2 linked regions of the Mus musculus genome follow. The protein of the gene in region 1 interacts with the protein of each later gene in a pairwise test. Links are inferred from orthologs where the notes say so. Each region holds a gene or a part of one and is shown in the gene's direction. Other genes may lie near its edges.

The links.
Region 2: the proteins of Araf (region 1) and Timm44 interact in binary tests that used the Homo sapiens proteins (3 or more experiments, as listed by UniProt). The link is inferred for Mus musculus from reciprocal best matches to the Homo sapiens genes ARAF and TIMM44.

What each region holds. Positions count from the first base shown.
Region 1 is NC_000086.7:20,844,911-20,853,345, forward strand, and holds the start of Araf (serine/threonine-protein kinase A-Raf), read left to right. Parts: upstream 1-3,632; 5' UTR 3,633-3,709; exon of another isoform or gene 3,710-5,016; coding exon of another isoform or gene 5,017-5,076; coding exon 5,077-5,172; intron 5,173-5,334; coding exon 5,335-5,438; intron 5,439-6,555; coding exon 6,556-6,658; intron 6,659-6,747; coding exon 6,748-6,902; intron 6,903-7,019; coding exon 7,020-7,118; coding exon of another isoform or gene 7,119-7,122; exon of another isoform or gene 7,123-7,995; intron 7,996-8,407; coding exon 8,408-8,435. UniProt on the Homo sapiens protein: Involved in the transduction of mitogenic signals from the cell membrane to the nucleus. May also regulate the TOR signaling cascade. Phosphorylates PFKFB2.
Region 2 is NC_000074.6:4,256,665-4,264,137, reverse strand, and holds the end of Timm44 (mitochondrial import inner membrane translocase subunit TIM44), read left to right. Parts: intron 1-2,140; coding exon 2,141-2,230; intron 2,231-3,515; coding exon 3,516-3,626; intron 3,627-3,882; coding exon 3,883-4,002; 3' UTR 4,003-4,407; downstream 4,408-7,473. Other genes in the region: Ctxn1 (cortexin-1), read left to right, coding at 5,509-5,757. UniProt on the Homo sapiens protein: Essential component of the PAM complex, a complex required for the translocation of transit peptide-containing proteins from the inner membrane into the mitochondrial matrix in an ATP-dependent manner.

The sequences.
Region 1 (8,435 bases):
CAAACAACCCCACATCCCTTTCTTGATCTCCCAAGGTATTTTGGACCCTCTCACTGAGTTCCAGCAGCAGGTAATCAAGACATTATAATGTAATGGGCCTGCACTGGGAGATGGGGATTTGAGGGTCCAGAAATTTAATTTAAAAGAAAATTCTAAAAAAATAATCCATAGTTTTTTTGTTTTTTGTAAAAGAAAGATTGAGTGCAGAGAAGAGAGCAGTGGGGGCAGGAGCGATATAGCTCAGCAGTCAAGAGCACTTGCTGTTCTTCCAGTTTGGTTCTCAGTGCCTACATATGGTAGCTTACCTTTAGTTCCAATTCCAGGGGATTCAATGTCCCCTTCTGAACTCTGCAGGCACACACACACACACACAGAGTGGGAAGAAATAAAAAAAAATGTTTTTTTTTTAAGTGAGGACAAAGTGGGTCAGATACTATATAACTCATCCTGGGGCCTGGGGGAATGGCTCAGTAAAACACTTGCCATGCAGTCCTGAGGACCTGAAGATAAAAGCCAGCAGCAGCGTATGTCTGTGACCCCAGTGCTGAGAAGGTATAAATAGGCAGATCCCTGGAGGTCACTGGCCAGCCAGTCTAGCAAAAAGGGTGACTTTCAGATTTAATGACAGACACTCTCCAAAAAATACAGTGGAGATGAGTTGAAAGAGGCATACACCAGCTGATATGAGGCCCTCAACACACATACAGTAGAGGACTTCCAGGTCTGTGTTCATTCAGAGATGATACACCTAACCCTCGAGAGACTGCCCCAGGGAGTTTAGAGGTAAGGTGGTGGTGATGGTGGGGTTGGGGCATCCAAGTGGAGACAAGGGTGGGGTGGGGAGGAGGTGTGGGGTGTGGAACAGTCGGAGGGTGGATGGAGTGGGGCGGGTAATGGAATATGGAGTGTAAAAAAATAATTAAAAATAAAATTAAGAAAATATATAAGAAACAGGGGCATATCAAAAAAAAAGAGGCAACCTAGGCCAATCTTTGGCTTCCACACATACATGCACATGAACTTGCATGCACATGTGCATATATCCACACAAGTACATATATCAGCATCCACCGTTATCTTTTATATATGTGAATTCATGACACCTGTACATATATGTACATGTATATAAAACCAAGGGATCAATTTCCAGTATCCTTCAGGTGCCATCAACTTTGTTTACTATTATTACTAATATTATTATTTTGTACATGCACAATGGGGTACACAAGTGCTATAGTATATATGTGGAGGTTAAAAGACAATTTTGTGGAGTCAATTTTTCCTTTTGCCTTTTTGTGGGTTCCAGGGATCAAACTCAGGTTAGCTGGTCTGCAACACAAGCACCTTTAACCACTGAACCATCTTGCTAGATTTCATTCACCTTGATTGTTGAGACAGAGCCTCTTCATTGGCCTGGAGCTCATTGACTCAGCTAGACTTGCTGGCAGCCAGTCTCAGGGATCTTGCTGTTTCCTCCTCTCACTGGCATTACAAACACAGATCACCACACTTGGTTTATTTTTATGTGGAAAGTACCTGAAACACTTACTTTACCAACTTGAGCCGTCTCCCTAGAACCCAATAAGTCAGTTTGAAGAGCAGGAACTAATCCATTGCTGCAAGAACTAATCCAGTCTTGCACGGATGATGTCAATCCCCTGAAAGGCCCCACCTATCAGTATCCATGCACTGGCTACCAAAATTCCACCATGAATTTTGACAAGAACAGACCACATCCACACCATAGTAATATTCTCTTTACTCTTTCCCCAAATGGTAGCTAGTTTGATTTCTTTCACTATAAACTGGTTTTTCCTGGCTTAGAATTCCATTGAAAACTATAGTAATGAAAACTATAGTATTACTCTTTAGTTCCTGGTTTTTTTTCCTTCTTTTAAACTTAGGTCTAGGAAATTCATCTATGCTGTTCTATAGTTGTGATTGCTGAGTGTTCTATTATGTGACGTTGTCATAGTTCATGGTCTATTCTTTTGTTGGATACCAAGGCTGTTTCTAGTATTTTTTTGTTTTTAGTTTTTACATTTCCTAATATGAATAAAGCTAATCTGAATATGTGCATACATGTTTTAGTGTGGATATGTAATGGGCTGTGGTTGGCTCACCATAGCCAATTTAGGGCCTTTCTTAATTCTGGTTCAGTGATGTCATATTGGTAGTTTGAAACATCCACTGTAGGAATCTTTATACCACAACTGACAAATGTTACAAATTACAATTGTTTTCTTTTTGAAAAGCTGGTTGTTAACATTTACCAGCATACCATGTGGGTATATGTTTTCATTTCTCTAGAGTAAACACTTAGAAATGATGTTGTTGGATTCATGATTGATTGATTTTCAAATTATTTCTTGTCCTGTTTTTGCAAAGAACTTAAAGAAAGAAATCTTATCTTTTTATAGAACCAACAGACTCAGCCCATTACATACAGGTTCTCAAAATAACTACTAGCTCGTTTTGAAGTAAGAAAACGTGACGGTACCATTTGGGACACAGAGTTTCTCTTAAATTCATCTAGTAGTCAGGGTGGCCATCTGTTACTTAACTATATCCAAAGGAAAACCAAGACTCATATCTTAGAAGAAAGAAGGAACAACTTTGAGCTGGACACATAGAGGAAGTTTGCATCAGACAGGGAGATAGGGGTGTTGTTACATTTGAAAGAGATGGTTTCAAGGCCTTTAGGAAAATTTTCTGTGGTTGTAAAACTGGCAAGAGACTGCCATACTCTTTGGGGAGGGGCAGGGTGCTGAGAATTTAACTCAGGGCTTTGTGGTTCATTCTCTTGTTGAGCTACAACCCTAGAACTAAGCTTTTAAGGAAGATTTATCTATCTATCTATCTATCTATCTATCTCCAATAGACAGAGAAAATAAAAGTTTTCTGAAGGAAATGCTCCAAAAAAAGAATGTAGGTACATACACATGTGTGTGTCTGTGCCTTTTCTTATTCTGATGCCTGGGTAAATTCAGTTTAAGAATTATATTCATCCTAAAATATGTCCACAAATGGCTGCCACAGGATTGCATTCCAGAACAACACTCCCTTCTTCACCTAGCCAGCTGTGGTCTGTCTTTCAAATTCCTCAACCCCTTTCCTCCCTCCCTAGAGCCAGACCTCCAGCACGGATCCGCTAATTAGCAAAAGTTATGACTACAGTTTCTTAGAGCTGGTAAATACTGAACATCATTTAGTCTGAGTCCACCCTGTTTTAAAGACCATCAAATTAAGATATATGAATAGTCCTTTAAAATGTGCTTTACACTACTGGCCAAATTGCATTTAAGGGTTTCTCTTGCTCAGATCAGTCTTAAATGGCCAGAAAATACAAAACTGAAATGGAGTCGTGCCTCTGACACGCACACCAAAAAAAGACAAGCTTCTTTATTCTATAGCACGGTTAGGGTTAAAGTCCTTAAAACGCAGTAGTCGCCCTGACTGCGCCTGCGCGCCAATCAGGACAGGCGAATTTGCCCTAGAGACAGCCATTTGAGCCCACCCCTCCTAATCCGGAACACGACCCACATTCCGCTGGCCCTGTCTTGATGGGCATGATCATCCTCCAATAAGAATGGAGAGACGAGTCACAGCGAGCCAATAGCAAAAAGCCTAGGGACGGTGGCGGTGGACTGAGAGGAAACAAGAAGACAAGCCCAAGATGGAGGCGGTGGTGGTGGTAGCGGTGTGACAGGTGAGGGCAGGCCCGGTAGGGTTCGGGTTTTGGAGCGGCTGCGGGACCCGGGTATGAAGTCCAGACCGAAAGCTCAGCTCCAAGATGCTTCCGTCTGAATCTCAGCGTTCTCCCGCCCGGAACCAAAGGAGTGGTTTGACCAGGGCGAGACCGTCGTCATCGACCGTGGGAGTGGATGGAGGAGTCGGCCTGCAGGCTGCAGTGGTGGTTTCGCTTGCTGCGCGTGGCAGTGCACCTGCACAGAGCTTGAAGCCCTTGGGGAGGGCGGGACGGAGCCAAATTGGGTCTGGGGTCTGGGGCTTGGGTGCGAAATTCCAAGGTGAATTCTTAAACCCCTTAAAATGTCTAATGACGTTTCCTCACGACGTCCAGGAGATGCAGCTCTCTCCCATGGTTCCTTATTGCCCTTCATATTCTACGCCACCTAGGAAGATGTCTGACGATTACCTCATTATCCCTAGTTCACCCTAATCCCTTTCCATGATTTCACAGTGCGTTTACACCAGTAATCTGTTTGTGACCCCCAGTAGTTATCAGGTACAGTTTTTGGAAACCCTTCCCCCAACCTCACCTCCATCTTCTTCATCTGGATACCATTGTCTTCCTTTGCCTTTCCTCTTGATAGTGTTTTCTGATGAGCCATCATTGCCACTGCATTTGATTTAGTGTGTAATGTGGTCTGTTATCCAGCTGTTTTTCACAGTCTGTAGTGACTCTTATTACATCTCTCTTTAGTCTAGGGTATGGCGAACCTCTGTGGACTCTAGAGGGTCTGGTGACCTCTATTAGCTACCTGACAGTACCTTTGATTCTACCATTAGCCTTATAGCTTATGCTCTGGAATACCCACAGTGCCTTTTAAGGTCATTGGTACTGTCTTCATTTCCTTCAATCTAAAAACAAGGTCTGATGATCCTCCATTTTCCTGTCCCCTGTCTGTGTCTGATTACCCATTCTCTGAAGCTAAGACAGCCTGTTTATTTCCATTGTGTGCCTGAGACCTGTGATTTTTCAGTGCAGTACATAATGGCTTCCCCATTAATCTCTAGAGAGTCATGTGTTCTGCACTGTCCAGAACCGTGTGCACTGTCTCCTCACTGCAGTGAGTCTCAGATCTTGGTACTCAACTATGACATAAGCAATAGGAGATTCTCAGCAGAGAAGGGTTAGTATCATTGGGCTGGTTCATAAAAAGTGGGATTTAGGGAACAGTGGGAACTTGGAGATGGAATTTTATATGTCCTCTGCCACTCTGCTTTCAGGCTGTCATTACTAGACCTCTGAATTTCTCCTCTGTCCTCTGCTAGGAGGCCTATGGCAGCTGCCCAGTCCTACCTCAGCCCATCTTGAAAACAATCTTAGGCAACATGGAACCACCACGAGGCCCTCCTGTTAGTGGGGCTGAGCCATCTCGGGCAGTTGGCACTGTCAAAGTGTACCTGCCTAACAAGCAACGCACAGTGGTGAGTCACTCAGGCAGTACTGGCAGGGGTTCCAGATAGTCGTAGTGTGGGATCAGAAGGGTGGCGAGGGTTAGGGAATGAATGCTGCAGAGGGAAGGAATAATTGGCTAGGGTACCTATTGGATACTGAAGACCCCAATCTCTACACACACACACACACAGGTGACTGTCCGGGAAGGCATGAGTGTCTATGACTCTTTGGACAAGGCCCTGAAGGTGCGGGGTCTCAACCAGGACTGCTGTGTGGTCTACAGGCTCATCAAAGGGTAAGTATGGAAACCCCATGCCATTCACTGGGTCCCTACACACCTCCTTTCTTCAGTGCCATCTTATTCCTCCTCATTTGTCTTGGAGTCTTCCACTATCTGAGGTAACCCAGGTGACATCTTTCGTTTCCCTTCATTGACCATTGGAAGGTCTGCAATTCACTATGCACTCAGCCCTCAAGTCCTCAGTCTGTCACCTTCCAGAGTTCATCTGTTTTGTTCTTTCACCATTTCTTGAAGTCACAAGCTCTTTCTTTTCTCATGGTCCCCATACACCATGGAGTTGGTGGTCTTCATTGACCTTTCTATTCTTTGTTTGTTTGTTTGTTTGTTTTGTTTGTTTTTTTTTTTTTTTTTTTTTGAGACAGGGTTTCTCTGTATAGCCCTGGCTGTCCTGGAACTCACTTTGTAGACCAGGCTGGCCTCGAACTCAGAAATCCACTTGCCTCTGCCTCCCGAGTGCTGGGATTAAAGGTGTGCGCCACCACGCCTGCCTGACCTTTCTATTCTTGTGTTCCTTGGTGCCTTAATGTTTTGGATGGAGTTCCTGTTTTCATTTTACCTGTTTCAGTGTCTCAGGTGCTGGCTTACTACGCCTGAGATGTAGTTTCATTTGCCTCTCACCACATGCTTAAGATCATGGATTAAATCTGGGAGTGGTGGGTATACCTGTTAGCCTAGCGCTTGGGCAATTCACCTAATTGCTTGAGCCTGTTTCCTCATGTGTAAAGTGGGAGTAAAAATAGTGACTAACTTTATTTTTTATTTGAAATGTTACCCTTTTTATGTGTATGAGTGTTTTGACTGCATGCGTGTGCACTGTGTGTGTTCCTCACGCCTATGGAGGCCAGAAGAAGGTTGAAGATCCCACCGGAGTTAAGGATGGTTATGAGCCACGGTGTGAGTGCTGGGAACTGAACCCAGGTCCTCTGAAAGAAAAGCAAGTATTCTTAACTGCTGAGCCATCATCTCTCCTGTCCAAAAGTGACTAACGTAGTGAGAATTAAACATGTGGGAGAGTGGTTCGTGGATGGGACTGAGAGGAACTTTGGGAACTTCCCTGTCTACTGTGGTCCCAGTGTATCATCGCTCTCATTCTCTCCCATACTTCTTGCAGAAGAAAGACAGTCACTGCCTGGGACACAGCCATTGCGCCTCTGGATGGTGAGGAGCTCATTGTGGAGGTCCTAGAAGATGTGCCACTGACCATGCACAATTTTGTAAGTCTAATGGGGATGGTGGGGGAGGCCACAGTGTGGACAGAGAGGGCCTTCAGTCGGGCCTGCACTTCCCTGCTTTGTGGCTGCAGGTACGGAAGACATTCTTCAGCCTGGCCTTCTGTGACTTCTGCCTTAAGTTTCTGTTCCATGGATTCCGCTGCCAGACCTGTGGCTACAAGTTCCACCAGCATTGTTCCTCCAAGGTCCCCACCGTCTGCGTTGACATGAGTACCAACCGCCGACAGTGAGCCCAGCCTGGGGTGGCTTGAGGGGTGGGGAGGACGGAAGCCCCAGCACGAGGGCTTACAGTCAGCCAAGCTATACTCACAGCCTTCTTGTTTTACACCTTTATGCCCTCAAGGTTCTACCACAGCATCCAGGATCTGTCTGGAGGCTCCAGGCAGCAGGAGGCTCCCTCAAATCTCTCTGTGAATGAGCTGCTAACCCCCCAGGGTCCCAGGTAGGGATGTCGTAGATGAAAGGCCAGGGGGCCAGTGAAAGAAGGATTGGAGGACCCTGAGAGATTATACTTTCGTTTATTTGTTTACGTGATAAATACTATTGAGTACCTACAAGTGTTGAATATGGGCATGGGATTGTGGGATCATTGGTAAGGCACCCAGTCACTCCAGGTTTCATTTTTTTCATCTGGGAAGAGGGGATGAGATTTTCCCTAGTGGGTTCTGAAGAGGATTAAGGGTTGAGATATTTGCAATGCTTAAAGCAAGATCTGATACAGAGTAAATAACAAGTGTTATTCATTACAAGTGTATATATAAAATCATCTAGTTTGTTCATTTCTTCCAGTATAACCACACCCCAGTCTTTTCTCTTTGAAATAAATGTTACTGTATCAGAAAGTACTTTTATTTCACTTATGTTGGATATGATAGCATATAGTTTTGCATAATATATAAAAAGTAAGGTTAATGTATTATTATTTGTAGTTATGAGTGTATGTGTGTTGATTTACCTGTGAATTTAATCTCAGGATGGTGAAAGTAACAGAAGAATGTTTTTCTGTAAGGTATAATTCATGGGAGGTGGAGGCAAGACGATCAATAGTTCAAGGCTACCCTCCACTAAGTAGCAAGTTCAAGGCCAGCCTGGGCTACATGAGACTGTCTTAAAACAGTAAAAAAGGTGTTTTGTAACGTGATATATGTATAATCGTTATATGATGTGTGTAATGTGTATTACATAATATAATATGTGTATTGAAAACGTTGCCATTTTAATATAGGTAATGCTCATTATTATAAAATAAATAATATATTTGAAAAATACATGTCATTATGATATGTAATAAAAAGTCATATCTTACCCTTTCTCCAACTATCTTTGTCCTTCATTGTTCCTTCTTTAGACCTTTCTCCCAATATTACCCTCTCTGAGAACCCACTCCTGACTCCCCCAGGGACACTTTCTACCTCCTTCATTTGATTTTCCTCTTTTTGTGCCTATCACTGACAGGCACATTATATATTTGCTTTTTTATTCTTCTGCCTCTGCTAAAAACTCTACAAGGGCAAGAGCTTTTTATTTATGGTATCCACAGTTTGATCTCCTCTGTTTCGAGTTGCATCTGGCACACAGGAGGCACTCAGTAAATGTTTCTTGGGCAGATGATTACTGGTCTGACCAACAGACATGTACTGTTTGAGTGAACGCACATTCAGGGTGGTGGAGTTGGGCTTTCTTTGCTTTTTAGTTCCTTCTGCAGCGATTTCATAGCCTTTTCTCTATTAGCCCCTTTACCCAGCAACGTGACCAGGAG
Region 2 (7,473 bases), on another chromosome or scaffold:
TTTTTTCTGCACAGTTTAAGTGGCAATGATCAGGACCCCATGAAAGATGGCCTGGGATGTGCAGGTTGGGGGCGTCCCATGCAGGAAGGTGATGGAAGAGCTCACTGGAATGTATAAGGTTTCCCCTGGCACTGCTGAGCCCCATACATGGTGGTGGCAGGTGCCTCATGGTGATTATGAGTTAACTGTGAATACTGAAGTATTTACAATGACCCAGCAGATTCCCCCCTCTAATAAGATAATGTAACAAAGATTAAAACAGAAATGTGGGTAGACTTCCCGGCTGAGGAAGGACATTGTGTCCTAAGGAGGCCCTAGCTACTTCCCAGAGTCATGGCTCATCTTAAGATCCCAGGGTCACGGTCAGAGCAGGCTGTGGGGAAGCCAGTATCTTCACTGGGAGCACATGCTGTCTGCTCTTTCCTGGCAACCTCCCTGTCTCCATGGAACTCCTGCTCTCGTCTGGTCTGCTCAGGCCACCTTACCTCACCCTACCGGCTTCTGGCTGCATCTCCAAGCAGGGTTGTGAGGTTTTTGTTTAGTTTTGTTTTTCTTCCAGCTTCTTTGTGTGAAGCAATCTGGAGCCTTTTTTTGGCTCATCCTATTCTGTCCCGAGCTCACAAACAACTTGGGAAAAGCAGAGGAGAAGATCTGTCAGGTTCTCTTTTTAACTACTCCCCTGCACTGGTGACTAAGCCAGTGGGCATTAGGAGAGTTCTCTTCCTCTTCCTCCTTCCTCCCTTCCTCCCTCTCTCCTCCTTTGGAACCACGAAGTCCTGGCTGATCTTCTCTATCCAAGAATAGCCTGGTACCCCCAGAACACAGCTGAAATTGTAGTTGGCTTCCAGTAAGGTGTTTGTAAAATGCTGCCTTGAGGAAGCGCTGGGTGTGGGGCATGGCACTTCTACCTCATGTGCCAGAAGCCACGAGTTTGCTCACTAGCACTGACACACCAGCTGTGGAGACCATGTCTACCATCCTGGCACTGGGGAAGGAGAAGCAGCAGAGACATCGTTTTTTCATGGTTTTGTTTTTTTTAAGATTTATTTATTATGTATATAGTGTTCTGCTTCCATGTATGCCTGCAGGCCAGAAGAAGGCACCAGATCTTATTATAGATGGTTATGGGCCACCATGTGGTTGCTGGGAATTGAACTCCGGATCTCCAGCCCCAGGCTCATTTTTTGCTTCATGGCTACCTTGAGCTACATGAAACCCTTATCTCTATAGCAATAAACAGCAGAAACCCACCAGGTAGGGTTGGCACTCCTTTGTGTGTGTATAATGTGTTTGTGCCACAATGCTGTGTGGAAGCCATAGGACAGTCTCCAGTGCTGATCCTCATCTCTTATCTTGTGTGGGACAGGGTATCTTGTTCACCACTGTGTGTGCACCAGGCTGGCTGGCCAAGGGTTTCCAGAGCTCCTGTCCCCACTTCCCATCTCACTTCAGGAATGCTGAGATTACATACGCCCAACTTTACATGGATTATGGAGATTTGAACTCAGGTCATCATAATTGTGCAAAAAGTGCTTAATCACTGAGCCATCTCCCCAACCTAGCACTACTGCTTATTCGAGCCACTCCCACTTCTGTTCAGCATCTGTTATTTCTGAAGTCCAGAAATGCCTTCAGGCCATTTCCTGTCTTAGTTGACTCCAAGCTCAAACTGCTCTCCTTGTGGCTACATGTCCCCCAGGCTCTTGGGGCAGTGGAGGGTGGCACGTTGGATGTTCTGTGAGAGAGGCTACTTAAGCTGTGAGTTCTAGGGCAGCCCAAAGGGTTGGGACAAATCCTAGAAACGGCATTTGAATCCAGGCCAAGATTCCAGGGGAGGTGAATCTGGGAACAGTAGAGATCAGCCAAGAGTCCCCCAGCTTACCCTGGGAGTGTACTTCGGATGATGCTGTGAATTACCCACTACACTGATTAATACTGATCCTACTTGGACGTATGGCTCTTTCCATAATGAGAAGTGTGCAGGTCTGGCCAGCCAAGAGTGGCATCCTTCTGGGCTTGGACTTGTGCTCTTGGCTTCTGCCAGTTTGGGTGTTAGGGCATATAAAAGTGGCTATACCTCTGGGTGTAACCCAACCCCTATCAGTGGCTGACTACATGGGCATATTGCCTCTCATTGCAGACCTACAGCCAGCTGGCCCACCCTATCCAGCAGGCCAAGGCTCTGGGCTTCCAGTTCCACTCCCGAATTCTGGACATCAGCAATGTGGACGTAAGTCATCCCCAAGGAAGCAGACAGTCAGAGTGAAGCAGCAGCTGACATAGCCTATAAATGAAGCCAGACCTGCCGATCCCCCATACTCACGGCAGGGCTGCTTGGGCTACAGAGTGAGTTCCACACTCATCTAGGTAACTTTGTGACACAGTTTCAAAAGAGAAAGTAAGACAAGGCCTGGGGATATGCCAGTGCTAAGAGTCCTGGCTTAGCATTTGTAAGGCACCGGCTTGAATTCCTAGGATGGTAACAAACAAAACTGTTGACCTGCCTCTCAAAGCTTTCCGTATTTCTGCGCTTGAAGTGTAAGTGATTTCCAGCCAAACAATGTGGCTTGAGTGATTGGTTGATGTTTGGTTGGTTTTGAGGAGAGGGCTGGTCTGTGTTTGTGTGCACATATTAGCACACATGCTATTCATACAAAAAATGAAAAATAAAAACAAAATTCTATGCGGTGAGCCAGGCATCGAGAGACACACCTAGAATTCAAGCACTCTGGAAGTTGAGGCAGGAAGATCCCATGAGTTTAAGGGTAATCTGAGCTAAATGACTTTATTGTAAAATACTCTTTGTTAGTGGGTGTGGTAGCTCATGCCTATAATCCCAGCATTTGAAGGCTGAGGCAGTGGGATTCAGGCCATTCATAACTATATTGTGAGTAAGGCCACCCTATGTTACCTGAGACCCTGTATCAAAATAAAAATAGGCTTTGCATTACCTATTAATTACAAAATGAAGCTAATTTTGCTTACCTGTACTTGGCTAGGATGCTTATTTCATTTGGTGTTTTAATGAGTTTTCCATGATACTTTCAAGCGTGTTTATCAGGACGCAGCTCATCCTGCATCCAGGATCCTGTGTTATTGGGCAGGTGCTGAGCCCTTGAGCTCCACTGGCAGTGGTGCCCCTGCCTCTGCAGCGTGGGCCCCTAACAGGCAGTTCAGCTTCCGTCACCAGAACTTCTTACCTCGTAGGAGCTGCAGGCAAAGTGGAGCCAACTTCCTGCCTTCCTTCACCCCTTGGTTTTATGAACCTGCATGGACCCAGTCTGGGAACAGAGAAATCCCACAGTTGAAGGCCTGGAGTTGCCCATGAGAAGGAGCTCATTGGAAAAAAATCACTCCTCTAAAGTCGGGGAGGGTGGTACCATACCTTTAGCACGGCAAAGTGTCAGACTATAGGACAAGTACAGAGTGCAACTTTGGGGCGTTTCATCTCCAGGGTTGTGAGCATTGGGTGGAGGTGTACAGTTCTGAGGCCTGTACTTGTGTGTTTCCTGCAGCTGGCCATGGGCAAGATGATGGAGCAGGGCCCAGTGCTGATCGTTACCTTTCAGGCCCAGGTGGTGATGGTGATCAAGAACTCCAAAGGCGAGGTGTATGATGGTGACCCGGTGAGTGGTAATCAAGGGAATGGAGGTTTGGGAGTGCTTCTCACATACAGGGCCCTGTGCATTGCACGCCTCCCCAGCACAGAGCCAGGCAGAAGCACCACAAGTACGAATTGAGAGCTTTTTGAAGTCAGAGCACCGTTTCATCTGACCACTGACCAGAGCCAGCAGCCCGGGAACCCCTTCCCTGTCCCCCTCAGTAGCCCTTCTTTCTGTACACCCACCAAGCCTGACCCCTCACCCTGCCCGGTCTTCACAGGACAAGGTGCAGCGAATGCTGTACGTGTGGGCACTCTGCAGAGACCAGGAGGAGCTCAACCCTTATGCTGCCTGGCGCCTTCTGGACATCTCAGCCTCCAGCACAGAGCAGATCCTCTGAGGGCAGCAATGGAGTCTAGGCAGCTCGAGGCTAGACCATCATGGGACAGACACACAGAGACACTTTGCCACATCTGATACAGCTGTGAACAAGCTTCTGCCCCAAGTTCTTCAGGGCAGCTGTGAAACCAGCTGGACAAGGGAAGAGCTTGGGGTGTCTAGCAGGATGGGGACTGTCTCCCAGTGCGTCCGTCACAGGGGTTGCTGGCAGTGTCAGAAGGCCCCAGCCCAGGACTCCTGTCGGGTGAGGCCTGGCCTGCTGTTCTAAGTAGTCCACTGGCATTGCCTTCCAAGCCACTTTAGGTCCTTTTGTTTTGTTTTGTTTTTGTTTTTAAATCAGTGCTCTTACTTCCTGTACATAAGCCTAAGATCTGGACCTAATAAAACACCAAAGCGCAGAAGAGCAGTTTGAACGGTTTGAAGTGTACCTCTCTGCTGGGAAGGCTGGGACTGAGGGCCTGTCAGAGACCTAGGTCAGTGAAGGATTGTAGCCAGAGAGAGTGCTGCTTTCTCGGGCCAACACCCTGCCCTTTTGTGGGAAGAATAAGCATCCCAGCTGTCTGGGGTCTCAGTTGAATTCGGGGTTCCCTAAGGCTTCGGGGCTTAACTAACAGAGACTGGGGTAAGGGGTTGCCCGGGAAGAATACGGATACAGACACCGAGGTTAGGAGAGGCTTCCGTGGGAGAGGCGTAAATGCCCATGTCCTGGCGAGGTCCTGGGTGCTCTAGGAGCTGGAAGCTGAGGCTGTCTGGGCTGGCACAGCGGTGGGAAGGTTCAGCCTTCCGATAGGCAGGCCGGGGCGGGGTCACAAGCCCAGGCACCGCTCCTAACACAGCCACCACCCCCTCGCAGCCCCGCCCTCGTCGCCATGGGAACAGCCGCGGCGGCTGGGCTGGCGCGCGGCTCTCCTTCCTCCCTCGGTCTCCACCGCTCCAGGGGCGGGTGGGGTGGGCTGAGCCGGGGCTGCCACAGCCTCCGCCGCTACCACTGCCACCCGGGAAGACCAGAGCAAAGCAGCGCACGAGTTCCGAGAAAGAGAGAGAGAGAGGGGCTGCAGGGCGGCCGGTCCCCGTCTAGGACCAAGGGTGAGGGGGGCGCGTTGTAGCCCGGGAGTCGGCTACGGTGGGGGAGGGGGGTCTTGGGCCTTGGAGAACAAAGGGAGCGGGGCGGGGACCAGTTCAAACAGTGCAGCTCTGGTCTCTGTCCCAGCGCGATCGCACCTGTTGTGCGCGGGCTGGGCAGATCTAAGCTGACCTGTCCCGGCTCTCAGCGACCCCACCTGCGCGCACCGCTGGAGTTGAGTCCCCGCGTGGCTGTGGCGGCGGAGCGCACAGGCGGGGCATGGGCGTAGCCCGGAGACGACAACACGGACAGAGATGATGCTGTGGGATACAGCAAAGGGGCTACTCCAGAAGGGGTGGATGGAGGTGCAGGAAGGGCATAGCCTCATCCCCGCGGACCCCGGGGTGGGTACCCCTCTCTCCTCAGAGCGCGGCGATGTGAGCTATGAGTTCGGCGTGGACACTATCACCGGAGCCGCTGCCGCCGTCGACGGGGCCCCCGGTGGGCGCGGGCCTGGACGTCGAGCAACGCACGGTGTTCGCCTTCGTGCTCTGCCTGCTCGTGGTGTTGGTTCTGTTGATGGTGCGCTGTGTGCGCATACTGCTAGACCCCTACAGCCGCATGCCCGCCTCGTCCTGGACCGACCACAAGGAGGCGCTCGAACGCGGGCAGTTCGACTATGCGTTGGTGTGATGGGGAACCAGTCGGGGCAGGTCCTTAGGGTCATCCCCGTGGAGGGGTGCCACCAGCCTGGACTGTGCTCAGGGTTATGCCTAGATGCCCTAGCTCGAAGTTGAGGGCGTTCGGAGAAGTCCAGTCCTTACCTACCTTAGCTACCCATCTTCCTTCCTGGCCAGGCCAGAACCCCACCTGGTGCCTTTATCTACCCTGTCCCCTTCTCTCTACATACTTATCCTCATTGCTGATCCCTCAACACTGAGTCCCTGGTGAGTGAAGGACCCCGCACCAACCTCAGCTTTCCCCAACTACCAGGCATGCTACATTCTTTCCTGGAAATGCGGACACCTCTTATCTCTTATTTCTTTGTTATGGTCATCCTCAATTTCAGTGCACTCCTTGAGTCCTGGCCCTGGCAGGCAGGCTTTCTTCGACTCACATTGGACGCTGCCTACCTATAATGCACGGTACAGTTTGCCTCAGAGACAGACCCAGAAACCCCACCATGGCTGCTGCTTGTGTTGATAATATCTGGCACTTTATGTGCGGGAGTACAAGCAGGCTCATCCCCTTCCCAGACTCGGCCCCAGCACAGGTTAGAGTGCCTTTCCTTTGTCCCACCTCTCCCATGTCCCCCTTGTCCCCATGCCCTTCCCTTGCCTTTCACACCTCCCCGCCTCTGAACCGTGGCAATTATAATAAAAGCTATTATTGAGTGCTTACTGCATGTGAAGCAGATTGCTGAGTTAACCAGTCCTGTTCTTAGCCTGTTTGCTTCTGAGGGTTTGTGACAAACAGCCAACAAGCCAAGCTCCTGTTAGGATCCCCCATTCTACAAGCCAGGGGACGACTGGAAGTCCAAGCCGCTAAAATAACTTGCCCCCAAGCCATTGATCTGGAATCAAAACCCACATCTGCTCTTGCCTTTGACTGCTGCCTAATCCTGCAAACACCCAATTTCATACACAACCCTTCAGTAGCTTTGGAGGTGGGGGGCTAGTAACCACCTCCAGCCCCTCCCCCATGGTATAGTTGAGACAACCCCACACGGGGGGGGGGGGGACTATGGGGAGTTAGCCTAGAGGTTATTTTCTAAAACCATACCTATAACCCCCAAACTCCTGAGCCTGGTCCCTCTTGTCCCCATCCAGTGTGTCTTAGAAGCTGTGGGTTTGGCTTTGTGAGGCTGTGACTAGGGAGTGGGCTGGCTTGGCTCCACAATCTGCCTGGGAGATGTGTTGAGATCCTCAGGGAGCCGTGTGCAACGTGTGTGGGGAGAATTGAGCTTTTCTATAAAAGGAAAGCCATGCGAAGGCACAGCTCAGAGAACAGAAATTTTACTCTCAACTTGTTAGGCTTGGGGGAGGGTGCTATGGTGGGAGGGCATCTGTTTCCCCAAAGAGACCTAGCTCCCCGGGCCTGTGCAGTACTCCATACCCACAGAGCAGGTGGAGCTTCTGTGGAAAGAACTACAGCATAAAGGGGTAAGTGGTCTTGGGGTTCAACCATAACCGCAGCCACTCCCTGCAGCTCTGTAGTCCACACTATCCTAAAGCTCCTCCAGGTCTGCCTCCCTCATCCCTGTATTTCTCGGGGTGGTTAAGGTTCCAGCCCCAGTTTCAAGAGACACTCCCTTCTTCCTCCAGCCCTCTCTCTGCTAGTCCCCCTGGCAGTCCTCTCCATGGAACCAGGGCTTTGCTCCATCAAGTGGGCCACACGGCCAACTTCAGT